Caenorhabditis elegans: one gene and its partners. The protein of the gene in region 3 purifies or fractionates together with the protein of the main gene of each other region. This does not show direct contact. Each region holds a gene or a part of one and is shown on either strand. Other genes may lie near its edges. The genes, in order: air-1, pph-6 and saps-1.

Region 1 (8,328 bases), on a different chromosome or scaffold from region 3:
ATTTTGGATTCAAATTATTCAGCATATCAGCATTAAGAATGTGTGTTCGAACCTAAATGCTTTCAACCAAAAAATTGATTATTACATCGTGTTCAGAATTCTGTCAACTGTTCAAATTTCACTAGTCTATCCACATGGGATCTCGAAAATCGTAGTTCGCTAAATATTTCTAGTTTCATATTTAAGATTTGAAATTCAGCCTTTGAATTCAAAATATCTCATCCTAATTCAAGAAGCCATTATTAAACGAGAGTGAGAAATAATGGAATTTAAATTTTAGTTTTGAACAACGAGCCCGTCTTGTTGATTACTCCACACTGTATTACAAGCGAATGAAATTTGAACACGTGGTTGACTGCATTAGGGTTCGAAATTACATTCTTAGAATCAAAATCAAACTATCAGAATGTTTTTACCAGTTTGCCAGATGATAATTTTCTAAAACTTTACTATCTCTAGATCTAGAGCTCCAAAACCGTAGTTATGGTGAAGTTCTCAAGTTTAGACTCTTAGACTAAAGGTATTCAATCTTGGTAGGATCTCATTTCAGTAGGGCATACTCTTTTTTTATTTTTTTATTTAGAGTTACCTCATTCTTGTATGTTGCCAAAAATCATAATCACAATTTTTCGTATCATCTTCCAACGATCAAATTTGTGGATTTCAGTTTTTACAGATCTGTGACAGTTTTTCTAAAATCTCGGGCATTTTGCCAGTGTATTCTGACCACTTGAAAGCCTGGCAATCCCATTTTTTTAAATTTTGGCATCAAAATCATTTTTAATCGCAATTTCTGTGAAAAAATATTCGTAATCCATGAATATCCGAGAATACGGTTGACACGTGTTCCTAGTATCAAACATTATATCTGCCTACACTTACCAATTTCGTCTAGTATCGTTTTCATATCATGGAAATCATTTTCAACATTTTGTAACATAAGTTTTTTAAAATTGTTTTCAATATGATCACCACAGTCGTATAGCCACATTTTCATTCTCCCTGGAGATGATATCACATGTTTTCTGAATAATATTTTCAAAATTTTTCGAATAACATCAACGTGCCTATTTACCATTTCTCCAGCATCTCTCAATTCGCTAATTAGTGCTTTTGGAAAAAGCTCACGACACACCTATTCGAAATGGATCTGGTCACTTTTCTAAATGGTGGTGTTGACGAGGGAGAGGTTGCCCCGGCAACGGAGAAGAACGAGAAACAAGAAAGGTTTAGTGAGAGCACAAAATCGATTATATTATTTTATATTATTATTATAATTTATATTATTTTTTCTTAGAGTTGTAATGTCTCAAGGCGAGAAGTTGGAAGAGAAGTTATTTGTCGACGAGTGCTACTTGTTCCAGGTACGGTTTTTTTTATGTTCAATTTTTGAAAATTATTGTTTTGATATATTTTAATTGCTGTTGGTACTTATGAATTTTAGGACGAAACGTTGACTCCGATCTTCTGTAAGCCAAAGCTTATCCCATTGAAGACCATCACTACTCAGAAGCTCGAGAAAATGCAGCGTGAGCAGATGGAGAGACTTCAGGTCCCAGAAGGACAGAAGGCGGTGAGAATTTTGGTTTTTTTTGTTGGAAACTTTAGAAATTTTCCAAAAACCATGTTTTGTAATTAGTGGAGTCAGATAGGGTATTACATTGTACTATTCTGGTACGTTTTTAATTAAAATTTTAACACTTCAGTGTTGTAAATGAGCGATTGAAATTTTTAAATATATTTCCAGAGAACTCCGGAGTCTGCTGAGGCCGAGTCGCCAAAGAGCAATGAAGGGCCATCAACTTCTGAGCCAAAGGAAGCTGATGTCTGGACTGCTGATGATTGACGAAATGTTACATGAACATTCGCTCATTAATGAATAATCAATCAATTAATTTATTTTGTACAACTTTACATAATCATACGATTGCCAAAAAAAATATTTCCGCAATTATCAATTCAATTTGCAATAAAGTGATATGAATCATAAGATGGCGGTGTATTTGAAGATGAAACTTGATAATCAAGATTTCCAGAAATTTGATTTAATTCATTATTGTTATATTCCATATACTGATGTTGTTGTAGATGTTGTTGCTGCTGCTGCTCGGCGAGCTGATCTCTGATGTATCGAAGTTGAGAGCTTGATGAGCTTGAACTATTTCCTCCGTTTTTATTCCTAAGAATTCTGCTTATACTACTGACTGATGGAAGGTTAGCTCTATCGCAAATGTCGGCAGAAATAAGTCGATCTCGAATCTCCCATGCAAAAATTCCTGGATCAGAGCGCTTCAAACTTCGAATATATTCAACAACCTGAAAAAAATAAAAAAAATTTTGGAAAAATCTACGCCGGATTCAAACTCACTTTAGGCGTAGTAACTCTCGGTCTAGATCCTCCAATTGTTCCAGGCATTATTGTTCCATTTTCTGAGAACCGAGTCAATATTTTCGAAACGCATCCATGACTGATTTTTAGTTGACGAGAGATGTCACACGGTCGTGTTCCTTGTCTCGAGAGCTCAACTATTTTACAACGCATCTCAAATGGAAGTGGTCTTCCATTTACGAAAACTCCACCAAGTTGATTAACTTCGGCAGTTTTGGCAGGAGAGTTGGCAGGGGCTGATAAAAAGTTGCGTTAAAAATAATACTGATAGTTTCTATTAGCTTGATTTCATTGCTAGAAAGAATTGTCTTAACTTTCATCTCATACTGTAAGGATTTCAGACAATTTCTTTAAAGATATAGTAACTAATTATTAAGAATCTATAAAGGTTTTCACTGCCAGTGGAATAAGTTACTAAAAAAATCCATGTAAAACCCATGTAATTCTTAAATGAAAAGCCGAATTACAGACAATTGTACTTACCGTAACCCGATGACGTAGATATCGACGAATATTGTTGAATTCCATTATCAGAGCTTGGAGTCGTTGAAGTAGACGATGGTGTTGTTGTCCAGAAGACATCAGATGTTGTTGATGGATGATAAGAAGACATCATCCACGGTTGAGCGGTGTCGCAGTTCATGCTCGAGCGAGTGTGACTGTACCAATGCGGTACGTGGTCCGTAAAGTAACTGGTCCGTGCAGAGCTTCTTTAATCTCAAAGCTCTCAAGGCTCCGCCTATTATAAGGCAAGGGGGGGGGGGCAAACAGTAGCTGCATAGGTATTTGTTGAGATTATTAGGGGGAAACGATGGGACTTTGCCAAATAGGAACCAGCCGGTGGGAATATGATTGTTGGTTACTGTAGGCAGTTGAACTTGACAATGTTTTACCCATGATTCCATTTAAGGATGAAGTTACACGGGTGTGTTTTAACATCTGAAGTCGTGGAAGCTCGTGGTTTAAATATCTGACGTCACAAATCTTTTCGAAGCCTATAGACTCCTGTGGTGTTAATTTCTGAAGAATAAACTGTTTTGACATAAACTTGTCAAATCCAGGTGTTGATACGGTATTTATTCTTAGGTTTTTTAGTACATCTCAGTCCACATGTGACGGCATTGCTTTTCCACCAACGACTGCGTGATTTTCTTCGATTTCGAAGGCATGGAACACACGGACACCTGAGAAATGTCACTGTTTTTTTCTAGCTGCTAAATTGTTTATGAAAACAGATAAATATAAAAATTCAAAAAATTGAGCAACGTAATATCGTCATATCCAATCAACCACTTGACAAACACCTCTAGTGCATATCTACGGGTCATCTTGTTTGTACTCACCTAAATTGACTACATATATCCAAATCTCCATCAAATAAATGGTTAGTAATCACCGGATATGTAACAACCAGATGGTAACGACCAGTTATTCGCGCAAATATTAAACATTTTTGTGCATTATTCTAGTATCTAATTGATCAGTTCATTTCAAGGATTACAGTTATTATTAAACATTAGAAAGAAATGTTTATATTGTATTTTCACGAAATGCTGAGATATCAGTTAAAAGGCACACGATGTTTTCCTGAGTGGGTCTCGGCACGAACTCAGTCATAGTGAGGTTCCAAAATTTACAGATTTTTTCATTTGATATGGAAAATGTACTATACGAATTTTGAAATTCTGAAATGTACAGAAAAAACTAGAATTTTTCATGTAGCACATAGCACCTAGCTAGGATAAAGTTTTTGCGAATGTACGATATTTAAGGCTCTCTGCCAGATACCACTTAACGTTGTTAAACCTCCGCTTTATGTTTCAAACTTTAGCTGTTCCAAAAAACGTTCCCACTCCTACCAATGTAGTGTTAACTCGTTATAATGTTTGCATACCATGCTACTTTTTTGGCGGAACAAAACAGTGCCAAAAAAGGCGGCAGCCTTCTACTTACCGCCACCACTGTTTGAGTTTTGGCTTTTAGCAGAAAGCATTGTATTTCTTCTGAGAACCAATGAACAAAGAGGTGCACCATCGTTTATGTGATAATCGAGACACTTGGATGCGAAATTTGGGAAAAAATTAATGGGGCAGACGGGAACACACGATACAGTACTTTCACGGGAATCTAATGATTTTACACACACACAAATAAAGAATAATTGATTTAGATAAATTTAAATCCTTCTCGTTGTCAGTGTGAGAAGAAACAAAAGGATGAAAACGGATAAATTGCTTAAATGGATTAGCGAAAATAAGAAGTTAGTAGCCGTATGATATACGGTTCTAAAGAAGGGAAAGTGCAGATGATAATTGTTTGGAAAGACAAGTAGAAAAGGTTGAGACTTTAATGGACAATAGACAGAGCTTTTATTGATTGGCTGTAGAATTATTGCGACTGGATTTCGTGAGCGTCGAAATGAAGAGTGGAACTTCAATGTCTTCGCGTTGCTTCATTTCCTTAATCCACGGATGAGCCATGATGTCAACAAGTGGGAGACGTTCTTGGGGTTCCTTTTTGATTATTGCATTTATCAAACTGGCAGCTCCGTCAGTCACAACACTTGGAATCTGCAAAAAAGAAGCAATTTAGATGAAACTACTTGGGAAACAAAATGGAAATGAATGTTTGAGAACTGTCCCGAGGAGAAAAGGAACCATATTGCATTAAAAGCAAACCGGCACACGCATCTCGAGCTAGACTTCTATTGCAGTTCTTTGAAGCTTCTCACAGATGAAACCGTGAGAGGCAGGAGATATATGACATGAAAAGATGAAATGGTTACCCAAACCATCACTTCATGCACATATTTCTGTTGGAGAACTGCTTATTAAGATTCTAACAAATTTAGTTCATAATTACTAACATAAATCTTGCACTCCTTGATTCTGGCGATCAATTTATCACCAGTTTGATTGGCGAACGGAGCATATCCAACAAGCATTTCGAAGAGAAGAATTCCAATTGCCCAAATGTCAACATTAAAGTCATGTGGCTGATTGGAAACCATTTCCGGAGCAAGATAATCCATGGTACCGCACAATGTATGGCGTTTCGAGTGATCAGCAACGACGGACCATCCGAAATCGGCAAGCTGAAATACAAGTCTTATTTTTTAGAAAGAATGCATAAAATGTGTTGAATTTAATTTTTACGGTAATTGTCCCGAGGAGAAAAGGAACCAGATCGCATTAAAAGCAGAACGGCACACGCATCTCGAGCTAAGCTTTTATTGCAATGTTACTGTGTGATCAGAGTATAAACTCTTTTTCAGCTAGTGACTTCTTTCGGCTCGGAGAACCAAAGGATGCACTGAGAACATTGCAGAAGACTTTTTGAGTACTTAGTTAACCATATTTATACGCGTACCTTCAGATTGAGCTTCGAATCAAGAAGAAGATTTTCAGGCTTAATGTCTCTGTGAATAACTCCTTTCGAATGGCAGTAATGCAACGCATTGGCCAGCTGTCGCACAAATCTGAGGAAATTTACTATATTTCTGAAATATCTACAAAATCACACCTTCCGGCAATGACCTCATTCACTTTGTGTCCAGGTTGTGATTGGAGGACATTAAATAATTCTCCTCTGCTGGCATAGTCGAGAATGACGAACACACGCTTGTCATCGTGAAAGTATCCATAAAGAGTGAGAATATTCGGATGACTGAAATAATATTGATTAATTGATTTGGATGAGATGACTTCGAGAAAACATACCGCAAATGATATTGAATTTCGATCTCTCTCTTCAACTGATGACTGACTCCAAGTTGAAGCAACTGTGTTTTGAAGAGTACTTTCAAAGCTATGATTCGCTTGGTCTTTTTTTCACGAGAGATGAAAACGTTTCCAAACTTTCCTTTTCCGAGAGGCCGTCCAACGTCAAAATCATCAAGACTCCAGCTAAAGTCCATTACATTGTAAAAGTAATAAATCAATTATTCTCACCATGATTCTTCCCTTGCCTGGTCAACTCTCTGAGGTCTGCTATCTTCCGTAAGTGAAATAACCTGAAGATTAGAATTGATGCCTTTCTAATTTTAATAACAATTACCTCGGCCTTCTGATCGTCTATCACAGGAGCAGTATTTTCCTTTCCGCTCATGATTAATGTAATTCTGCGAGTTGAAATATTATAATAAAATTGAGGAATAAAAAATTTAATGAGAAAGGAAAAAGAAAATCGCGACTAATTCAAGAACACGTCAAAAATTAGAACAAAGGCAGTCACTTTGAATGAATTTTGCTTGGCGGGTTGTTGAGCGGCATTGCTAAACAACACGCGCTCTGTTATTTCGGAGTGTCGTTGCTGACACGTTGCGAATAAATCAATTCTGCATTTTCTATTCCACTGAGTTCTGCGATTTTTTTCGCAGAATTCGGTGAATTTGAATCAATAAAATGTCAGTAATCGATAAAACTTCATCAGCAGTCAATCCTTTACGAGAAAAAGTGACTACTGCATGTGCAAAGAAGCTGTATAATGACAAGGTCAGCTAAAATATTAATTACAAACGAAACTTATGGCATTTCTTACAGGATTGCATCAAAATTGCTGATTTCATCACTCCACTGGTCGAAGATATGAACCTTGATTCAAATGTTGATAGGAAACTACACAATAAACTAGAACGATACGAGTTGAGACTAAACAAGGAATATTTGAGCGAGTTCGAAAAAGTTAGAATAAACCTGAAATCATTTCATTTTAAATCTGCTATTTCAGATAAATAACATTGTGCAAAAATTCGATGAGCTCTGTGTAAAAATGAACTCCACATGCACGAATTTATCAAAGCAAATGGAGACTGTAAAGTTCAAAAGTGTTGATTTGGTGCAGAAAACAGCAAGCTTGAAGGAGAAGAAAGCGAGTATAGAAAGCCGTTGTAATATGATAAATGAATTTCTCGAAAACTATTCTTTATCAAGTGAAGAGCTTCGAGAATTAGACGAATGTGAACAAAGTGGTCATCTATCGGAATTTTTCTTCAAAGTTCTTGAGAGGTGCCACGAAATTCGCGAGAACTGCAGAAATATGGTTCAGGAGCAAGGACATCTTGCCGCTTTTGAAGTGATGGAAAAAATGCAAAAAATTGACGAAAGAAGCCATGCAATTATCTGTAACAATCTGAAACGCGAATTTCAAAATCTGACAGTTGATTCTCATCAGAAAAAGCAAATTCTTTCTAAAGCTTTCAAAATCATAAGTCAGAATGATGCTGTATTCCAGCTTGCCATTGGTACGTTTAGTTCTTCAAATCTACTCACCATTAACCTAGTTTTCAGACCAATACATTTCATCTCGCTCACAAGAATTGCTCAATCAGTTTGTTGAAATTAACAAAATGGCTGTCCAAATGCCTGAAGGGTTGGCAGAACCACTGAAGGCAGTTGGAGATATGCTGACTTCGATTCACGAGCTCACGGAGCAAGAAAAACAGTTGTTCAGCTCAATTTGTTCCGCAGAAAATCTTCCGATCGTTCTTGATGAATGCCTGAAATCTTTGACTTCGCCGTTCAAGGTAAAAAGTTTAAATTATTGGACTATAATATATGATAATAGTTTACAGATTAGGGTAGAGCAACTGCTGTCGACAGAAAAAAATGCCATCACAATTTTCAAAATGGGAAATATTTTAATTTTCTATGCAAACAAGTTCGAGACTTTGATTCGAAAAGATAGTTATTTTACAATAATGCTCGCAGATCTCGTCAAAACAGTTCGTCAAGTATGTATTGCCGGTATAAATCATCACGTGGACGGACTTATGAGAAAGATGACATCACCACACTATGATCTCCTTCCAGTCCCAGAAGTTCGGCAATGCCTTTCACTTTATCACGGGCTTATTTCAATTGCTGTAAAAACAGGAGATTTGAATCTTCTTCTTGAACCAGAAAGGATCTACGAATATGTCTTGGAACCACTTATTCAGA
Region 2 (11,562 bases), on a different chromosome or scaffold from region 3:
AAATTCTAATTTCACCATTTTTTGCTCTGAAAGCATTATTTTTTCACTTCTTCAAGTCATTAAATTCATGAAAAATGTGCATGGTTTCCCATCACAACCCGTCGTCTCCCAGCTGATTTTTTGTCTGTTTTCTCTCGCAATCTCTCCCCATTGAGCAATATTTTTGTAAGGCAACGTTGCATTGCCCACTTTTTTTTATTTTTTATTATATTTTCCCGTCCACGTTCTCTGTTCGTTTCATTTCTCGATTCTGTGAAGTTCAACGACGGAAACTCGCAATTTCAGAGAATGAGTGATCCGTGTGAATGTTTCTTCGATCATGAATCTGCTATGCAAAGACTTTTGGCTATGGTAAGGGAAATAATTATGGAAATATTCGGGGTTTAGCGCGAAATTTGCCAATACAATTTAAAAAAAACAAATTTTCGGCTCTCGACTCGATAAATTTGATATGAAATGCTAAAAGGTGTGCGCATTTAAAGAGTACTGTAGTTTCAAACGTTTTTCTGTTTTTATCGCTTTCTTCTGGTTCAAAAAATTATTATATTTTTGTCGAAAAACTACTAAAAATCTATGAAAATTCCGCAGCAACTAAACTTTGAAACTACAGTACCCTTTAAAGGCGCACGCCTTTTTCGCAGTTAACAAAAAAATAAAAAATTGTCGTGTCGAGACCCCGACGCACAAAATCACAACATATCGTATCTGAATACCCATTGCAAATCGTCATAAAACTCCAAAAAAAAAAAATGTTTTTGAAAAAAATCAAAATTTTGCAGCTCCGAAACTCGCAAGCGGACTGCACAGATACGGGTTGCGACAATGATGGTTTGAGTCGTGAAGGTGGCAATACAATGATGATGTGGACACTTTTATGGACATTTATGGCAATGGCACTTTACGTGATGAGACCCAATTCAATGAGATCTGATAGAAGAACCGCCGATGATGCAGCAATTGAAAAACCAACTGGAAGTTCTGATGTTAGTATTGTCAAGTTCGGATTTATCACAAGAGCGCAGAAAACCCGCTCCACGGCCAATTTTGGGTCTCGCCACGAAAAATTAAAATTTCGGGTGTGCGCCTTTAAAGTACTACGGTACTTTTTGCACAAGTATCTTAATTTTATTGTATTAGAGAGACGCAGAAAAAATCACCTGTGAAATCGATGTGAAAACACGCTCCACGGCTAAACGTAAAAGCTCCGCTCCCCAACAGTTGGGTCTCGTTAGGAATTTGGCGGGAAAACCGGATTTTCAAATTTTCAAGCAGTTTTCGTTGTTTTTAATGTATTCTCTATCCCAAATCGAAAAAAAAACAATAATTTCGGCATAAAAATCAGCGAAATTCCCAGTTTTTCCGCCAAATTCCTAACGAGACCCAACTGTTTGGGGGCGGAGCGTTTTCAATTGGCAGTGGAGCGCGTTTCTGCGTCTCTAATCTTTTTTTTTTGTGCCCGCCCGGCAATACATTGACCGGTCAATCAGTTATCAGAGACGCGAAAAAAGAAATCATCACCGGGTTTTATAGGTGTTTGTCCTACAGTCTAACTTGAATTTTTGAAAAAAAAAATTAAAAATTTTTTAGGGGATATGGAATACCCAGTTCCTTATTTTGGACTTTATTGCTAAATTGAAAAAAAAACAATTTAAAAATATTCCCTGGAATTTTTGTTTATTTTTTTAGTATTACGTGAACGCAAAATTCAGAGAATACGTATTGCACACCATATTTCACGCGCAAAATATCTCATAGCGAAAACTACAGTAGTCGTTAAAAGGATTACTGTAGTTTTCGCTACGAGATATTTTGAGCGTCAGAACTTTGTGTTTACGCAATATCAACAAAAAAAAACTAGAAAACTTTCAATTTTGGTTCATACGATAGTTTTTTTTTGTTGAAAAAATCGAAAAAAAAAAAACAAAATTTATCGATTTTCAGATTTTTAAATATAAAATTAAACTATTTCAAATTTTAAAATGTTCTAAACTTCTCCTCGGGGAGTACGCGTCCTATAAAATTTTAAAATTCCAATTTCCAGGACAACACGCCACCACCTCCACCGCCATCTGCAATGTAAATCTGAAATCCTCTACCGTCCGTCTTCTGTAACACTCTCCTCTGCCACCAACCATTCCTGTGTATAAATTGAAAAAATCCAGTTTTATTTTTGCAACTGGAATCCTCTGGGTCCTCCTCTTCTATTCATTCATATGCTTTTAATTTTCTCTCCCCTGTGCTTTGGGTATCACAATTTTCGTCTCTCTTTTTTTTTGTCAAATTTTCTGTGAAAATCGCCTACTACTAGTCCCTACCAATTTCTTGTACATTTCCGTCTCTCTGGGAATATGAATGAAGATTCGAGATTATTCGAGAGAGATAATTGTTCACACATTAAAATTAAATTAAGGAATGAGAGAAAGAGAAAGGGGGAACACGACGGAAAAAAGTGAACAGGAGCTGAAAGAAGGAAAAACATGAGAATAAAGTGAAAAATCAGAGAGAGAATACACACAAAATGGGGGAAAATGAAGATCAAGTACACGAGGAACCGAGGCTTTTATAGGGGGTCCACTCCAGACAAAAAACATTAAAATTCAAGATGGAATAGCGTGAATTTGCTTTGAAATAGCAAAAAATGATGAAAATTGACAAAAAAACGATAAAAACCCGGAAAAAATTCAGAAATAATGAAAAATTCATGTTTTTTGCTCAACTTTTGACAAATTTCCCCGGTCATTGGTCGAAAAATGGGCGAAGCTAATCGCTAATTGGTCGAAAAAAAGAATTAACAAGCCTCTGATTGCAGGACCAATCAGCGATTTGCTCCGCCCTTTTTTGACCAATCAGGGGAAAATGTCAAATTTTACGGGAAATTAGCTTGAATTTTATTGTTTTTTGTGGGATTTTTTTGGAATTTCAATTATTTTGGCAGGTTTTTTTTTGGGTTTTTTAAAAAGCGATTTACACTATTCCACCATAAATTTTAAAGAATAATTAAATTATGTAGCTGTGGCGGAAATAGAAATAGGCAGGCAGGTGTGAGGTAATATTTAGAGGAAATACGGAGCAACGACACGATCCGGCTTCTCACGGCTTCCATCGGGAACTGCGTTGAAATATTTCGTCGAGCGATTGTTTCCGTCGATTTCGAATACGGCCGCCGCGTTTCCGCATCGATAGCAGTAGTTTGGAGCTGCAATTTATCCATTTATTTGAAATTTCTTTTTGTAATAACTTTTAAAGCAATTTCAGTTTTTTCAGTTAAAAGTGTTTTATTTTCTTTTTTCTGTTTTTAAATTTTTATCGTTTCCTTTAATCCTTTTTTTTACAGTTTTTTTAAAATCAGTTTCTTTTAGTTTTTTAATAATTTTTTTAGCAATTTCAGTTTTTTTCAGTTGAAAAATAGTTTTTTCTTCTCTTTTTTCAGTTTATTTGAGGTATTTTTCAGTTTTCAAGAAAATTTCCAGCTTGTGCGATTAAAAAAATTTCAGTTTCCAAGTTTTTAAGTTTTTCAGTTTTTTTTCAGTTTTTAATGAAAAAACATTAAAACTTTTTTTCGGAAAAAAGGAGAAATTCTTAAAACCGAGAAAATTTTGTTTTTCGATTTTTTTTTTGAGTTTTTTGAATGAATTTTGATAAATTAGAATTTTTCAAAAAAAGTTCGAAAACGGGAAATTATCGGAAAATTTCCGTTTTTTTTTTCAAAAATCGACCCATAATCTTTTTTTTGGAATTTTTTTTCTAATTTTTCAGCAAAATAAAAGAAATTCTTACCCGACCAAACGGTAGCGAGTTTCTCATTAAACATATACTTAAATCCTTCGTCAACGAGTTGATGGGACCGGCAAAGTAGTGAAAGATCATTATTCATTAGGAATTCTTCTGTCACTTTTGCTCCGAACACCTGCAAAAAAAATTAATTTTAAAGTGGAAATTCCAAAATTGACAGGGCTGTCGTATTTTTGGCAAAAAAAATAAAGGTTTTTTCGGACCAAAAAACAAAAAAAACTATCAAGTTTCAGTTGGAAAAAGAAAAAATCCAAATTTTTTTGTTTTTTTTGCCCAAATTCGGCAGATCAGTCAGTTTTCTTACAAATCCAGCTCCTCTTTGACTAATCACCCAATCTTCGACGTCATCATCCGGATCCGACCACATTATGTCACATAGAGGACCCTGCAAATTTGGAAATAATTTATTTAATTGAAAATTTGAGTTTCTCCATTTTTTTTTAGTAAAAAAAAATAATTTTTGAAAATTTCCAGTCATTTTCATATATTTTGAGTAAATTTTCTAATTTTTCGTATTTTTTTCGCAATTTTTTGAAGAAAAAAAAACGAGAATTTTTCATTTTTCGGAAAAAAAAAATTTTTTTTGCAATCGAAAAGTTAATTTTTTAATTTTTTATGAGAAAATCCAAAGAATTTTAATAATCTTTTTTTGGATTTTTCAAAATCGAAATTGTTCATCTTTTTGAATATATTTTAAGATTTTTCTCATCAAAATCATTATTTGATAATTTCGGTTTTTCAAATTTTCTCGGTTTTTTATTCAATTTTTTAAAACAAGACTTTCGTATTAAAAAAACAATTTTTTTTTTCGTATTTTAGAGTAAAATTCTCCAAAAATTCCCGAATTCTCGATTTTCTCATTTTAATCTGCATATTTTTGATAAATTTATAGTTTCTCGTATATTTTTTCTCAATTTTCGGATTTTCTTCCAAGAAAAATGAAACTTTTGAATAAATTTATATTTTTTATCTCTAAATTTTCAATGTTTTCCAAATAAAAACATTTAGTTTTCGATTAATTCCGGTAAATTATTTATTTTTCGATTAATTTTTCACGATAAATTAAAATTTCCAACCTTATTAGGAACTTCTTGAGCTCTATCAAGTAACATAAGACTATCAATTGTTCGAATATCAGGTGAAAGTCCTCCATGTACACACAGTACTGATTCATCAATTAAAGCTCCAATTGGAAGAACGTCGAATACCTGAAAAAAAATTAATTTTTAGTTTTTTAAACTGAAAATTTGATGAAAATGGTGAAAAAATACCTTTTCGATACAATTATCGGCTAAAAATTGTATTTTTCGACACGTAATCTAGTGCTTGAGCACTTTAAGAGCCAATTATCCCGTAAAAACTCGGATTTTTTCCGCAAAAATTGACAGTAAAAAGTTATTTTCGTCATTTTTATTCTACAAAATCACCTCTCGTTTAAAAAAATAATTTGAAGCGATTTTCGAGAAGAACTTTGGGAGCTCACGGAGCATTTTTAATAATATTTTTTGGAAATTTTCCATTCTGCAGATTGAAGGTTTTCTTTAAAAAAACCAGAAAAAAATCGAGCATTTTTGAGTCCAAAAATTGCACAAAAACTAATTTTGATGGATTTCATGTTTTTTTGAAGTTTTTTAAAAAAGAAAATTACAGAAAAACAATTTTCCGGAAAGTTTATATGAAATTTTTAATTTTATAAAAATTCGACTTATTTTTAGCTTTACTTTTGGAGCCATTTTGAAACGAATTTTGAATTTTTCAGCCAATTTTTCAGTTAAATTTTTAAAATTATCAGAAAATCGCACAAAAATCATTTTTTCATGAATTTTCGCGTATAATTTCGCCAAAACGTTGAATTTTTAACGATTTTTATCGCTTTTTCTGCACGACGAATTTCCAATTTCCATTCAATTTCCATCGCTTCCTTACTTTACAGAACCATTTGTGCACATTTCCGTGTCCATATTTATTCTGACATTCATCGTAGAATCCATAAACATTGGAAATTCGACGAGATTCATGATTTCCGCGGAGCAGTGTGATTTGATTCGGATATCTGCAAATTTTGGAGTTTTTTACAGAAATTTTGGTAGGAAAAAGAATCAAAAAATACTTGAGAAGAAGACAAAAAAGCAGTGTAACAGTTTCCAGACTGTAATGTCCTCGATCCACATAATCTCCCATGAATACGTATTTTGTGTTGGGAACTGTGCCGCCTGTAATGAGAAAAAATGGGTCACGTCACGATTTTTTTTTGTCATTCAAAAAATCAAAATTTAGATGAAAAATCGCTTTGTACTCCCCGAGGAGAAGAATTTCAGAGCTTTTTGCCGAATATATTTTTGTCATTTCTTACTGAAAAAATTCACGAAAAAAGGTTTTTTTAATCGAAATTTCAAGCTTTTTGGATAAAAAAAAAACGATTTTTTCAAACTTTTTTTTTTCAGAAATTCGTATAAAAACTGTTTCTTTAAGGATTTTCGCCTGAAAAGTGGGGTTTTCAAGATTTTTAACGATTTTTCAGTCGAAAAAATCAAAATTTAAATGAAAAATCGTTATGTCGATTTACGCAGCCCGTGTACTCCCCGAGGAGAAGAATTTTAGAGTTTTTTTTGCTGAATATATTTTCGCCATTTTTTATTTAAAAAATTTACGAAAAAAAGTTTTTTTTTCGAAATTTTAAGCTTTCTGGATTAAAAATATCGATTTTTTGACTTTTTTTTCAAGAAAATCGTATAAAAACTGTTTTTTAAAGGATTTTCGCATGAAAAAAAGTGATTTTTTCTAGATTTATACCGATTTTTCGGTGAAATATTCTAAATTTAGATGAAAAATCGTTTCGTGTCGATTTACGCAGCCCGTGTACTCCCCGAGGAGAAGAATTTTAGAGTTTTTTTGCTGAAATTATTGATTTTCGACGATTTTTCAAATTAATAAATTTAAACGATTGTTTTTTTTTCAGAAAAACTTGAAAAAATTATAAATTTTCAAATTTTGCACCCTTTTTCCACAAAAAACACTCAAAATTGCCAAAATATTTGAATTTTTCACATAAAACGTCGCCAAAACTTCTTCTTCCGTCGAAAAATCGAAAATTAGCTGTAAAAATGAATTTTTCGAGTTTTTTTCATGTTTGAAAACAGAAAAAAAACCGTATGGCCTCTTCCACGGCCCTGTGTCGATTTACGCAGCTGTGTTCTCCACGAGGAGAAGTGTATCACAATTTTCCGGCTAAAATGCTTGATTTTTAATTATTTTTTCGCGATCTTGTTGTAAAAAACACTTAAATCGCCATTTCTAGGCGAAAATCTAGGTTTCTATTGTTGAAAATATGAAAATTCTTCGTTTTTAGCAGTAGTAAAATACTTTTCCATCTGAAAAAGGCAATTTTAATGTTAAAAAAGCGAAAAATGGCCCGAAAACAGTGAAATTCTCCTCCTCGAGGAGTACACGAGCTGCGTAAATCGACACATTATCGATTTTTTCGATTTTCCGGCAAATTTTCGAATTTTTCATTCAACTTTTGAATTTTTCATTCAATTTACGAATTTTTTTATCCAATTTCTCGATTTTTTTTTGGCTAATTTTCCGATTTTCCCGGAAAGTTTCTCGATTTTTCGGCTGATTTTTTGAATTTTTCATCCAATTTTGTGACATTTCCAATTCGAATCCGATTCCGTACCAGTTTTGAATAATTCGAGTAAATCATAAAATTGTCCATGAATATCTCCACAAATTGTGACAGGCGACGAAACGGGCACCACATTGGCTTCCAGTGATAGACGATCGATTAATCTGAAAAAATGTTCAGTTTTTGAGCCGAAAATTGCTGAAAATTGCTTTTTTCTTACGTTGCACAAAGAGCAACAGCGTCAGATTCGGGCAAGTATTTGCATTCGCTCGCCCACGTAATCCATTGCTCCGGCTCTATTTTTCGAGATCTGGAAATGAAAAAAATTAAGTTTTGTATAATTTTGGAGCTGAAATTTAAGTTTTTTTTTAGAAATTTGCAAAAAAATTCGAAATTTTTCGCAGAATTTTTCAATTTTGAGTAAAAAAAATCAATTTCCAAGCTCAAATCGCCTAATGTAGATTTACGCAGCTCGTGTACTCCCCGAGGAGAAAAATACTAGTTTTCGACTAAAATGCTAGATTTTACATTTTCGCTGTTTTTTAAAAGTTTAACGTTCAAATCGCCGATTTTTCGCTTTTTTGGTAATTTTTATGCTGAAATTCAGCATTTTTAATATGGAAAACTGCTGGAAACGATGATTTGTAGTCGATTTTCATTTAAAATAATTAAAATGACAATTTTAATGTTAAATTGGTCAAAAATTGAGCATTTTCTCCAAAAACTATAAAAATCTTCTCCTCGAGGAGTACACGAGCTGCGTAAATCGACACAAAGCGATTTGTGCTTGGAAAATCGCATTTTTCGCTTGAAATATCCAAAATTTGGTACCCAATAAAATGCGTTGTGCTCTTTTCGAGCTCTCCTTCATCGCACACTGTCACCCGAAGAAGGTTTGTGTCGATCATTCTGAAAATTTTACGGTTTTAAATGAAAAAGAAGCTTTTTTCCTGTTTAAAATTAAAAAATATATGAAAAATGGCTGAAAACCTATCGAAAAAGTGGAAAAAAGGGAATTGAAACTCAAAAATTGTTCATTCGAATCCTATAAAACGGCGGGAAAAAGTGATTGGAGTGTGATGAAATAACGGAAAAAACAGAAAAACAATAAAAATTACTAGCTATTCAAAAAAAAACTACAAAAAACCGGAAAAACATTAAAAAACCAGAGGAAAATTAAAAGAAAATTATTTAGAGACGACTCCAACTTGAGCAGGCCGAATTGGACGTTCTTTCAGGCTGTAGCCGATCTTTGTACACACTTCGATATGTCCGACAGGTTGTTTGGCCTGAAAATGGAGGAAATTAAGCATTTTGTGGCATTTAAAAAGGATTAAATAAGCCCAAATTGTTCAAAAAATACAAGATTTGGCTCTTTTATTTCGGAAAATTCGGGCGGTTAGCACTAACATTAGCAGATGGAATCTGGAAAACGGCTTCGTGGAGATTGGGGTCGAACTTTTCATTGGTTGGATCCACGGTCACAAGGCCATGCTTTGCGAATGTCTTTGCCATGACAGTACGGGTCATTGAAACTCCTTCGAAAAGATCTTTCAGAGCTTTTCCTCCCGATTCCAGATCTTCTGGCTTCACAGACTTGACGGCAATGTCGAGAATATCGGAGACCTGCAAATTTGGAATTATTTTAATTGTTTTTCGGTTGATTTTGATTTTAAAAATCGAACCTCAAGTAAATCTTTGCAGAATGATTGGATTGCAAAAACCTTAGCATCGTCGGTTTGCTTGATACCTCGCCGACGAACATTTTCAGTTTCAGCAAGCGATCTTTGATATTTATCCTTAAAATCCAAGCTTTCGGCCTGCAAATCGTCGTATTCCTTGAGAAGAACATCAAAAGCACCCTTTGGAATCTGTGTCTTGTCCTCGCCGGCAATCGAAGTAAGAACAATTTCTTCATAGTCGGCTCCTGGTTTTTTTTTAAATATTATATCAGTTTTTAGAATTTAGAATTTGTTTTAGAGTAAAAATCGCTACCTCTGAGTCTCTTTCCGTCTTTTCTAATCTCATAATTGACTTCTTCCGATGATTGTGATGCCGTGGCGCTGAATCTTTGAATGCGCAAGTTTTTCTGAGTTTTCCTGCAATGAAAAAATTTGATTTTCACCGTTATTCAAAATTCAAGGAACTTACAGCGTTTGTTGAACAGCCTGGCCGACGAAAGACACTCCTTTGCGCAGCATATTGTCTGAAATTGCCAAAATTTGAAGAAATTAGGAATAAAAAACGAAAAATCGGCGGAAATTGGTAAAAAACGAAGAAAAAATTAATAAATTTCATCATGACAAGAAATGCGCCAGCACATGACTCAAGTGCGCCAGTAACGTGCTGGCGTGATTTTCGTGCGTGTCTGCGTCTCCATGCTTTGCACACTCTTTTCGAGGAGTTTTTAAGCGGCAATTTAAAGTGGAAAAGGGCAAACTGTAGCAGTTTTTTCTTAACTTTTTCTGCAAAAATCTGTGTATTTCCGCAAAAAAACACAGCAAATCCAACAAAAAATTTATTATCAATGCTCTAAAAGCCTTAAACACAAAAAAACCAAGATTTGTCACTTCTTATGTTCGCGTTCTCCATCAAAATCTGGTCGCTTCGGTACAAATCGATATTTGACAATTTTCGAATCATCTTTTCCATCAGTCACAGGTTCCAGGTGAGCTTTCGCGAAATGCGGTGATGTGACTGGAAATCTGGAGCATCCTCTGAACGTGACGCTTTCTCTGGATTTCACGTAACTCGGCGCATGTCGGCGCTGACCTTTCCATTCTGGGGGACGCTGAAAAAAAAGTATGTATTATTGCAAGTGCGCTCCAGTAAACTGAGCGATTCCGGCTGTCACTCACTCTTAAGGCATTCAAAGCACCCGGACTTGGAATTGCATATCGAGCTGGCTGGGCTATTGGTTTTGGCACATATCTCGGAGCACTTGTGCTGGTAGATCCACTGGAAGAGCTGCTGATTGGCTCAACACGAGATCTGTAAAGAGTTGAGGAGATATCCGGCATGTCAAAATGATCTGATTTCTTCGAATTTTCGGGCGGTGCAGAGCTTCCGGTGGTTGAAGAACTACTTTGAACTTCTTTTGAATCAAATATATTGTGAAGTGCTGTGGCAATGTCGGGCATCTGCAATAATTTTCCATTTTTGCCAGTTTCATATTCAAATTACCGCCAAGAGACTTTGTTCAATAGAGCGCGCTTGCATTATTTTAATTTTTGTTTTTTTTTTCTCATCAATTCTCTGAACTTCTTCATTTTTTGTGAATTTTCACTGAAAATTTGAATGAAAAGTCAAGATAAATGCAAATTGTTCATTAGCTTTTCAAATTTTCAGTAAAAATACACAAAACATGAAGGAATTCAGTGAAATAATTAGGACAAAAAAACAAAAACAAAAAATAATGCAAGCGCGCCCCATCGAACAAATCGTCTTGGCGGATTTTTTCATTTTCAAAAGTTTTTTATTGAAAAAACCTTAAAATTTGACTTTTTTTTCCTGAAAAATTGAAAAAATCGATACTGACAGATTGGCAAAATTTCGCGGAATTTTAAGTAAATTTTTTAGCAATTTTTTTCGTTATAACTAACAGGAGATTTCTGGCTTCCGAGAGCTCCATTATCTTTCTTTTCTGACTCAAATCCTCCAATTGTACTCGAAGAACTATTCATTTCGTCCGATTCCACCACCACGTGAGATTTGTAAGGCGTTGAGGAAATATCCGGCATGTCAAAATGGGCTGATTTCTTCGAATTTTCAGGAGTTGCAGAGCTTCCAGTCTTCAAAAACGAGCTCATTCCTTCTGACTGAGCTTTGTAAGAGGCTGAGGTGAAGCCTTCTGGCTTGATATAGCGAAATTCTGGTCTCTTAATATATCCTGGAATAAGCTTCAAGTTCCTGGAGTTACTTTCCGAGCTAAAATTGAATGGTTTTCCTGAATTCACCACATATCTAACTTCTCCAGTGTTCAGCTGATCCGAAATTTGTGTTCGGCCTGGAGGGCCTGGAGATGCTGTGATGGGCTTTCTGGAGCTGCTGCTGGTGCTTTCAAAATAGAACGGCTTCCCATAGCACGCAGAACTTGTGCTGGGCTGATCAGGCTTCAGATATTTCGCTAGAGGACTTCCGAA
Region 3 (9,757 bases):
AGAAGAGCTTCGAGACAAGACTGGTAATATCTGAGATCTTTCTCGAACTCTCGGCTTTCCACGTCGAATACGTATATGAGCACTTGAACATTCTTGAAGATCTGATCCTTTTGCGAGACGAGGAAGTTCTCCATGAATGATTCCTGACCACCACAATCCCACAAGTGAAGAACCATGTTTCCGAGGAACCTGGAAAAGGAAAAATTGTGTTCTTTTGATAATTGATCCAGAATTGATCCCTTACTTGACATGAGCATGCTCAACTTCGATTGTTGGCCCGAGACGCGAACAATCCCTGGCGATGTAGTTGGCAAATATGATCGAACGCATCGAAGTCTTGCCGGATCCACTTTTGCCCATCAGAAGAACTTTTCGTTTTGAAGACATCTTTTCTGAAAATAAATTATGTTTTTTTCTGAAGATCTTTGAAACAAAACTAAGATATTAGAACAATGATCATAAAACATCCAAATTTTCAATCAAGCTATAATTTTTTAAAAAGAATTTATAAACTCATGAAAGAGGAAGAAATACAAGAAATAGTGGGAAGTTATTATTGAATGCAACGAATTGTGAAATAGGATGGAATGGAAAATCTGATACTCACTAACACGAGATAAACAATCAATGAAGGTGAAATCAGAATAATTGAATTTCAATAACCACCTAAACAAGAAAAAGAGTAGAGGGGGAAAAGATTGGACCAAATTAAAAGTTGCCCGAGAATCATATATTATGTATTAGAAGAAGTAACAAATAAGCCGTGCTTCTTATCACTGGGGGCGCTCACTTTTTTTAAATGATAAGATAATGTTCTTTAGAAGAAACCAGCAAAGATGAGAAGCCACGGAAAATTCGGAAACAAAATTCTAAGTGCATCGGATGCAACGGTTTTAAAGTCGGTGGGAATATGGGGAAACATGAACAACGAATGGAGAATGGGAAAGAACCGCAAAATCGAGATTGATAAATTAATAAGTGAAATTTGCAAGAAACACACACACACAGAAAAATTTTGGAATTCTGGTTGAAAATGAGGGGGAAGTTCGAAGTGAATTGCATACAAGACTATAAACAGAAAAATGTAGAAAATAATTGGGATGTGAAACGAATTGGGGATGACACGAGTTGCAAGGGCTTCAAGCCTCGCTGCTGTCTCCAGGATGGGATATACTCGCAGCAAGTCCAACCATTACCGGGTCGGATGCTTTCGATTCGTGCGAGTTGTTCAACGGCCAATCCGACGCTTCCCCTTGAAGATGAATGTCTGATCCAGGCCACGCATCGGAGCTACTGGACGACGCCGAGTTTGCAGCTGCAGTCGGACTGATGGTTGGGAACGAGGAGAAATCGGCCCACATATCGTCTTCCTTTGGGGGTGCCATGTCTGAAAACATTGATTTTAAATTGAGTAATAAAATTGGTTCAACATAGGTGGGATGGCTTACTCCAGGAAATCGGAAAGGGAAACCGACGTGCAACAATCTACAGACTTGATGGTGGCTGCAATCCCACCTATCATGTCCAGCTTTATTACCTAAATGTGAAAAGTCAGGTGCCGTCTCGTCAACCCAGTTATTTTCCGGACGATGTCCAGTCTGAGTGACAACTTCGGTTTCCCCGAGTGGTGGCACAGTTGGCCACACCCACTCCCCGTCTCCTTCTTCCTGTTCTAGAAAAGCCTGATTCCCGTTTGTCTGTTGTGGATACGTACTGGCAACGACACTCGGTGGTTCCGACGCCTTCTCTGATGTCTTTTCTGCCTCTCCAGGCCATTTGATTGGGCTCGTCTCGAAACTTATTCCAGCGCACGACGAGGAGTTGGCTCGCTCTGAGCACAACTTTCTGAACTCATCCTCGTCCGGCGTGTCGTCAAATTGACCTTCAAAGTCGGAAAATCGCTGCATATTTGGTTCGAATGGCGAGCTAAAAAATAGATTAGACGTAAAATTGGCAATAATTTAATAACTAACCTAAAACCAGAAAACGCTTGCTTAGCAGATGATGTTGCATCCATTTCGGCGAATTTCGTAGAAGCATCAGTCCACTCTTCACTATCGTTGAAACCGTGACTGTCGTTTCGAATCGATGAGACCACACTGGAATCATTAAAATCGTGTTGCATCTGAGGGCGATGTTTCAAGTTGTAAAGATGAATGATATCTTCGAGTTCTGTCCATGTGTTGTCTGCCTGGAAAAATTATAAAAAATATATATAAAGAACGATAATAAATAAATAAATAAATTATTTACACTCAAAATAGCAAGCAACTTCTGATTGGGAATTCCTGCCTTCTTCGCACGGTTGATAGCATCTCCAAGGTTTTGATTGAACGATCGGAGACCACTGCAAGCTACCGAGGATCCAGGATTTGGAGAGGTCGCTGTATCGTATATGTTCTGAATTAGTCCTCCTTCTGTGAGCAAATATTCTGCAGCTGGAGACAGCTCATCACATGGGAAGCTGGAGTGTAGAAGTAGGATGACAACTTTTACGAGGAGGCAGTGGAGAACACTGGCACGAGGCAGCATCTTTGCAGCTTTGATTAACTGAAAATTTAAAATTTAAAATTCAAATTTTTGATAAAGAAATAAGAAATAAAATAAATTATGCATACATTAATGAAGGGAAGACTTCTGAAAGCGACTGCAATCTTCTCATGCGTTGACATACAATTGGTATTGCACAATTCGATAATCAATCGCAGAAGTGGTTGCCAAACTGAACCATTCGCTTCGATATCTCGCAGGACTGTCTGAAGAATGTTGGGCAGCCGATTCGCGAGAATCCCCTCGACGATTCTTTCGGGATCCGGTTGATAGGAATGCTCGTACGGATCGTTGTCCATGCACGGCCGCATTAATCCATAGGAATAGTGTCGTTCCTCAATCAAATTTCGTTCTATTTCCTCAAGCTGCTGGGCAGGTGCATTTGAAACAAAGTTTGTCTTGATGAAAGCCTCCAAGATTTTAGCTGATGCACTAATAAGGGCGGACTTTTTGACGAGCTCCTCGGCGGGACAACCTTCCTAAAAAAAATAGAAAAATAGATGTGACTTTTGGAATTATGCCAGTAAATACTACCTCAACAATCAGATTATCTGCAATTTTAGCAATCAACGTCTCATCCATTGATTTTGCGTGCAACTCATCGACCTTGCTCTCCATAATGTACAGCTTATCCCTCAACTCTCGCAGAATTTCGCAATAAACCTCAGCAAGACACTCCTTTTCATCGTCTGTCTCTGATTCCCGCATCCGATCGACAATCTTCTCGAATAAATTTTCAGATATCATCCACTGTAAATAGAGAGTTGCGGCAAGAATGGTTTTAAATACAATTTTTCTGATACCTCCTTCACAATTCTCGTTCCCTCACTTGTGGTTGGAATTCGCACCAGATTCTCGAGAAGACACTCGATTGCTCCGAGATTGATGTTTCGGAGGCATTTGTCGAAAAACTTGGTTTCTTGGAGAAGACTGAACGTCTGAAACTTTATACAGAGGGTCTTTGGAGTGTTCGTATTCAACGAACCAAGTCGAAATGCCTTGACAAAAGGCATTCCATGATTTTTGCGAAGAATCCGGCAACGAGATGGTTCAATGGAGTTTTGTCGTTCAAAAAATCGACCAGGCATTTCCTTGTTTCTTCCGTCTGAAAAAAATTAATTAATTAATTATAAAATATGCGATTCAACCCTGACTCACTGTGACAATCTGTTTTTGAAACACATCAGTTCCTCGAATCGTGAGAATTTCCGAGGCTATGAAAGAAAGCCTGTATTGTTGTTTCATCGGCAGATCGGTGTTGATTTTGGGGTTCAGACTGAGCTCTAATAACGCCTTCATGTTTTCCCTGCTTGTGATGCTGAAAATATACTTTTTATGAAAATAAATGCTAACTGGAGACTTACTATTGAACCAATTCAGCTTTTCCATATCGAGATTCCTGCACAACGAACTCGTTGAGCAGGACATCTTCCAACGTGAAGTTGTCGGTCTTCAGCAATCGCATCAGCGAGTTTTCCTCTTCTTCTTTCGCCCAGAACATCTGGAAAATGCTGGTAAACATTTTAGATAGCTTTTTAGCGGGCATCGATTTACGGCTACGATGATAACACAAAGAACGCCGGGCGGTGCTAGGAGAAAAACAAAATAAAAAACGATATTCGTCAGTAACAGCGATAAAACTCGCAAGAAAGTTACAAGAAAATCAGAGAAAACGATGATACCAGCGCCACGGAAAATGTTTTTATAAACGAGAATGAAAAAATAGCGCGCAAAACGCAGAGTGTGCATTATTGCGTAATTTTGTGCGCGGGTGCGCGTGATTTCACGCCAGAATGCAGACACATTTTTTAGACAAGTCTAGTCTATGAAAATTTAAATAAAACGTTATTTCTCCGAATTATATGATGATAAAACATGCTTTCATAAATAAAAAATACGAAAATTTCGAAGTGGCCTTCACACTCCACCTATAGTACACTCACATATTTGACGAGCGAAATATCTCGTAGCGAAAACTACAGTAATTCTTTAATTGATTACTGTAGTGCTGGTGTAGATTTTCGAAAACCATTTATTAATAGTCAAAATATTAGAAGAAAGCACAAAAAACCTCTGGCTAAATGTCAAAACCTCAGGCTCAAAGTATTTTATTCAGATGCTCAAGGTATTTTATTCAGATGCTCACTGTGAATCTTCATCACTCGATCGACCATCTGTCACAGCTTCAGAAGCACTCTCCTGAGCAATTCTTCTCGAGCCACTCTGCTCTTCAAACTTCATGCCTTCATGCTCGAGATCCTCTTGATTTGGCTGTTCCATCTCATTTGGTGAATGTACAATGTTGAGATCTGGCTCAGGCTCCTGCTCTGGGCGAGCTTCAACATTGTGATCCAGTGAGTCGTCGAGATTAAGGAGCATCGGGTCGTCATCATCCTGTGTGATATCATCCTCCGCATCTGAATCCGAAGAATATGCATCGCTTGAAGCAGAAGTTCTGAAAAACAATTATTTAGAAACCCACAGTGAATATGCAATTAACTAACCCCTCTCTGTCACGTCTGGACTTCTTTCTATTATTTCTTCTCTTTCCCTCTGCCCACATTCTTTTAATTTTATCTGCCTTACAATGTTGCCCTTTCAGTTGTTTCATTCCATCTCTTGATATACCGTATTTCTTCTATTAATATGGCTGCAATACTATTTTTCGATGGCCTTCCCGTTTGCAATACTAATAGGGAGTGCAAGACTATTAGGGAGTGCAATACTAATTTTCAGAGCATATTTCTGACTTTGAGCTTACTAGTTTTTTTTCTGAAAAAGCTCGAATCTTATGTAAAAATTCAGAAAATTTGATTTTCATATAAGTTCAAAAACTTCAATCTCGTAGAAATGTTGTAAAAAACTGTTGCAAAATAGGCAAAAAATTCTGTTGAAATCCTAAAATCAGCGATAAGGGATTGCAATAAAAAAAGAGTAAACGCAAGACTATTAGGGCGTGCAAGACTAATAGGGAGTGCCATACTAATTTTCGGAAGGTCTCCGAGGGGCAATACTAATAGGGAGTGCAAGTCTAATAGGGAGGCCATATTAATAGAAGATATACGGTAGATCTAGAGATCTTTTTTGGATCCAATTGGATATATCAAAATATATCTGGATATATTTCGTTTTAAATAATTTATTTTCGAAAATTTACACAAGTTTTACACCACTTTTTCAGAATTTATTACAAGATGTCGCTTTTGTCAGAGGTGCATGTGCTTCGTTTTCAACGATCCTTTCAATGGCAGTGACACTTCTTCCAAGGAAAAAGCTGGTCCAGCTTGGTCTGCAATGAGAAGTCGGGAGAACAAGGAAAATATGCAAAGTTATCAGACTAAGCCTAATAACCACGTGGAATCGATGGATTGGGATGATAGTGAATCGATGGCGGCTCAATCGGTTGCTCAATCAACTCGTTCCAGTCATTTCAAGCCAGGACTTTTATCCAGAAATATCAATGAAAGAATGACTGCTCAACAGCTTACACCCTCCGTGGCAAATTTGAATCAAATTTGAACCGACAAATGGCTCAGCAACAGAATCACACACCGACTAGATCATTGTTCGGGCCACCACGATCTATGGTAGCTTCACAATACGACAGGAGTCACTACATGGCACCGGAAGCACAGTAAGATTTGTTTTAGTGGAAATAATTATTGAATTTTGCAAGTCCATATCAACTCACAAAAAAATTCAGCGGCTCGATCTAAATTACCGTGTTTTATTCTTGGCGCCTAGTTTCGAGAACTGTTTAGTTTACAAATTTGATCTACTTTATCGTTCAGAATAGAATGAAATTGACGATTTTCCCGCATTTTCAGAATTCTCTAGAAAAATAACTTTTATCTTCGCACGAGCCAGCCGTTGAAATTTCAAACTGTTTTTTTAAAACTACATAAATTACTATTTTTTCCAGATGCTCGCAGCCGCCGAATTAAATTTGGTAGAAGTGGAAGCAACATTAAGATTTCGTCAACGTCTGATAATCTGCCAGGAACGCTTATATAGAGCGACCGTACCAGAAACGGAGCGAATCCAGATTCCATTGCTCAAAATTCTCGGATTCGCTTGCAAATCAGAAGGAGTGGAGCAGAGATTCAAGGTCTAGCACTACAGTTCATCGAAAATGTACAAAATCTGGAAAGATTTTTGGAAGAGGAGAACGAGAACTTGGCTGCCGGTGATACACAACGAGCTCAAATCCTATGCCAAGAGTTCCGTCACCACTTCAATCAGATTAATCAATGGAAGTACCGCTGTGTCGCGAATATGAGACGAATTTCAAATCGCATTGGAGCTTTACGACGTAGATTGTAAGTTGTTAAATATTCTTTTGTTTTTTTTTGTCAATATTTTGATCATTTTCAGGGCACTCCCGGTGAATGTCGAATTCGGCGTCTTGGATATCGGTCAGCATGGATAACGGAGACGGTGACAAATAAACTCGTTTCGGTTCCAAAACAAAAATCCCTTTTTTAATTAATCACTAAATTTAAATTTCCTGATTCCTCTTCTGTTTCTTTTTTTTTACCCAAGCTGAATAAGCGCAGTTCTCTGAACTTTAAAATATTTTATTTATTTATTTTATGGAGATCACATGATAAAGTTCGTGAAATTATGCACTTGTAATTATGGCTATAATAATTATTAAAGCAGGAGTGAATGTTAGAGAAGAAGAACTCGTCGTAGTTTCAATATGAGATTCAACAGTGAGGCCGGTAATGAGATCGAACTGGAATTTCTGAATCATCGAATCCCAGAAGTTGTAACCAGATTGAAAGATCTGAAGTTCGAATTGTGTTAATGATTTTAAAATTTAGAAAAAAAAATTAAGGAGTTCTCAGACGTTTATCAGTAACTGGCTTTGGCCCGATAACTGTAAATATGAGAGAAAAGAATTTCTGACAGTTTAGAAATTACTATAGGATTCTATGTTAATACTCTTTTATATCAAGGAAGTGATTAAAAATGCGGTGACGGTTCTATCATCATCGTTAAATTCGAAATAATTGTCCTTGTAGACTCCCCAAATGTATGGGAATTCATGACAGTGATACGTAGCCCGAACTGGAAACTCTGCATCAAATTCGGCAGGATTAAAGTATCGAAAATGGTAAAGATAGAGATCAGGCGACACTTCAGATCTTGCACGAGCTTCTCGAAGAATAGGAATATCGAATCCAGTGTTTGAGTCGATCTCGAAAAGTTCGATGTTACACTGACGGAAAATTTAGTGATTTTTGTCCTCGCCGGTCTCGGCACGACAAAATATCGCTAGATGTGAAAAGGTGTGCGCATTCAAAAGGAGTACTGTAATTTTAAACTTTCGTTGCTGCCACGTGGTGTCAGGTTGTCCCATAAGGGTTTGATCTACAAAAAAATGCGGGATTTTTTCCCAAAAATGTGACGTCAGCACGTTCGTAACTATGCGAAATCAGTTGAGCAGTCTGCGTCTCAATTCCCGCAATTCTCGTAGATCAACCCGAAATGGGACATTATGACACCACGTATCGATTTAAATATTAAAATTGTTCTCATGTTTCCATGTCCCGAAAAATATGCGTCCGCAGGGAATACAAGTGCGCCCCACCGCACTCCTCTTTTTCTCTAAATCTCTTGCTCTCCTCCCGGAGTGAAAAGTTCGAAGGAAATACGTGTTTTCTGCGCATCGATGCTATTTTTATCTGAATATGTGATCGGTTGGATGTAACATTTAAAATGGGAACTATTTCGCTAGCCGTTCAATTATTTATTGTTTTCCTTCTAACTTCCTATTTATTGAATAAGGTAAGCCAGAAATAGATTATTTTTTCAAAGAAACTTTAAGCATTTCATCATTCTTTTCAGTACTCAACAATCCGAAAGCAAAATCCAATTGTGACGATATCCACGTTTATTGGATGGTATTTCTCGCTAATTATTGTGTTCGTTCTCCCTCTTGATGTGGCAATTGTGAGTTTTTAATCGGAAAAAAGAGATTTTAATGCTAAATATCAACATTTCTTTACTAAAACCTTCTTATAGACATTCTTCCACAAATGCGAGAACGATCGACAGCGAATTCTAAACACAACAACATCGACGCCGGCGCCTGTTGTTCCGGAATGCGAACTTCCCGGCGGTTACGTCCCCGATGATGTTCTGTTCAACCTCTGGCGCGTTGTATATTGGAGTGCACAGCTTCTTACATGGCTCATACTTCCTCTTCTTCAAAGCTACGTAACAGCTGGAAACTTTACGATTCTTGGGAAAATCCGTGCGGCAGTGATCAATAATGCTCTCTACTACGCTATTTATTCGTTATGCTTTCTAGCGATTCTCATTTATGCAATGTTTAAGGGTGTTTCTATTAACATGTAAGTGTCAAAAACTTGTTATATTTGAACAACATTTGAACATTTTCAGAGAAAACCTAAAAGTCATCGTGGTCTCTGCATCGAACACATGGGGATTATTCTTGCTTGTAGTGTTGCTTGGACACGGGCTCGTCGAGCTGCCACGTAGTCTCTGGCACCATGGAAATCGACGTAAGTATAGAGATTTTCTTTAAAAAAATAATAATTGAAGATATATTACAGACTATCGATTACGAAAAACCTATTTCGACATCGAAAAGCTTGCGTCAGAGAAGAGTGAAGCAGAGGAAAATGTGAAAGATATTTATAAGTTAGTAAATACAAAATTTGAAAATCTTTATTATTATTGTTGCATTATTATAATTTCAGGAAAGTAAGAGTGCTATTCAATTCGATGAAAAATGACTCAAATGGCCAGCGGAGAAAAGTCCGAACAATTCTTTCAAAATTCAGCGATGACGTCATCGATAACCTGTTCCCATCTCGTCAAGTAATCGATAATGCTCATCTCGATGAAAGCGGACCGTGTTCTGAAGCTAAATTGATTAGTCTTCACAAAAAGACAATTTATGCGGTGCAGACGCTTAATAATGCGACGGCGCAGTGGAAGTGAGTTCTGAAAACCAAGTTTGGCACCGAAAATACGTGTCGAGACCGACCTGGCATCATATTTTTTTTGCGCAAAAATAACAAATTTTCATGTCTCTGGTAATCATTCTAGAATATATTCTATCAAATTCTTTTTTTATTTCAGAGTTCTCGTGGATCGTGCTCTCTTTCTGGAAAACCTGGCGTTCTCCGAATCCAATGGCTACAATCTGGAACTATCCAGGAACACTTGCGTG

What was found.
Region 1: the proteins of saps-1 (region 3) and air-1 purify together in Caenorhabditis elegans (affinity purification with western blotting; one study listed by BioGRID). This does not show direct contact.
Region 2: the proteins of saps-1 (region 3) and pph-6 purify together in Caenorhabditis elegans (affinity purification with western blotting; one study listed by BioGRID). This does not show direct contact.

Annotation. Positions count from the first base shown.
Region 1 is NC_003283.11:8,219,669-8,227,996, reverse strand, and holds air-1 (Aurora kinase), read right to left. Parts: upstream 6,510-8,328; 5' UTR 6,497-6,509; coding exon 6,446-6,496; intron 6,402-6,445; coding exon 6,340-6,401; intron 6,295-6,339; coding exon 6,109-6,294; intron 6,056-6,108; coding exon 5,912-6,055; intron 5,868-5,911; coding exon 5,759-5,867; intron 5,717-5,758; exon of another isoform or gene 5,548-5,716; intron 5,484-5,547; coding exon 5,256-5,483; intron 5,219-5,255; exon of another isoform or gene 5,024-5,218; intron 4,960-5,023; coding exon 4,759-4,959; 3' UTR 4,415-4,758; downstream 1-4,414. Other genes in the region: K07C11.10 (BBSome-interacting protein 1), read left to right, coding at 1,145-1,227, 1,298-1,364, 1,445-1,573, 1,748-1,846; pax-1 (Paired box protein 1 homolog), read right to left, coding at 1,960-2,316, 2,369-2,625, 2,873-3,032; cogc-6 (Conserved oligomeric Golgi complex subunit 6), read left to right, coding at 6,793-6,882, 6,931-7,071, 7,118-7,631, 7,678-7,913, 7,962-8,328.
Region 2 is NC_003281.10:3,458,470-3,470,031, reverse strand, and holds pph-6 (Serine/threonine-protein phosphatase 6 catalytic subunit), read right to left. Parts: upstream 8,330-11,562; 5' UTR 8,329-8,329; coding exon 8,252-8,328; intron 7,731-8,251; coding exon 7,641-7,730; intron 7,585-7,640; coding exon 7,472-7,584; intron 6,006-7,471; coding exon 5,903-6,005; intron 5,846-5,902; coding exon 5,719-5,845; intron 5,001-5,718; coding exon 4,869-5,000; intron 4,178-4,868; coding exon 4,097-4,177; intron 3,908-4,096; coding exon 3,778-3,907; intron 3,197-3,777; coding exon 3,054-3,196; 3' UTR 2,379-3,053; downstream 1-2,378. Other genes in the region: smim-14 (Small integral membrane protein 14), read left to right, coding at 289-351, 780-983, 2,042-2,080; C34C12.8 (GrpE protein homolog, mitochondrial), read right to left, coding at 8,608-8,709, 8,831-9,046, 9,106-9,347, 9,416-9,519, 9,572-9,621; C34C12.2 (Fibronectin type-III domain-containing protein), read right to left, coding at 9,987-10,211, 10,279-10,560, 11,023-11,562. UniProt on the Caenorhabditis elegans protein: Catalytic subunit of protein phosphatase 6 (PP6). In complex with saps-1, promotes actomyosin contractility during cytokinesis by regulating the organization of cortical non-muscle myosin II nmy-2 and thus contributing to correct spindle positioning.
Region 3 is NC_003280.10:11,291,994-11,301,750, reverse strand, and holds saps-1 (Serine/threonine-protein phosphatase 6 regulatory subunit), read right to left. Parts: upstream 4,052-9,757; coding exon 3,915-4,051; intron 3,869-3,914; coding exon 3,709-3,868; intron 3,656-3,708; coding exon 3,536-3,655; intron 3,495-3,535; coding exon 3,354-3,494; intron 3,301-3,353; coding exon 3,085-3,300; intron 3,030-3,084; coding exon 2,619-3,029; intron 2,551-2,618; coding exon 2,254-2,550; intron 2,192-2,253; coding exon 1,974-2,191; intron 1,927-1,973; coding exon 1,538-1,926; intron 1,388-1,537; coding exon 1,140-1,387; 3' UTR 501-1,139; downstream 1-500. Other genes in the region: raga-1 (GTP-binding protein), read right to left, coding at 1-189, 245-387; C47G2.4 (G-protein coupled receptor-associated protein LMBRD2), read left to right, coding at 8,275-8,343, 8,404-8,508, 8,581-8,912, 8,962-9,083, 9,135-9,222, 9,282-9,521, 9,667-9,757.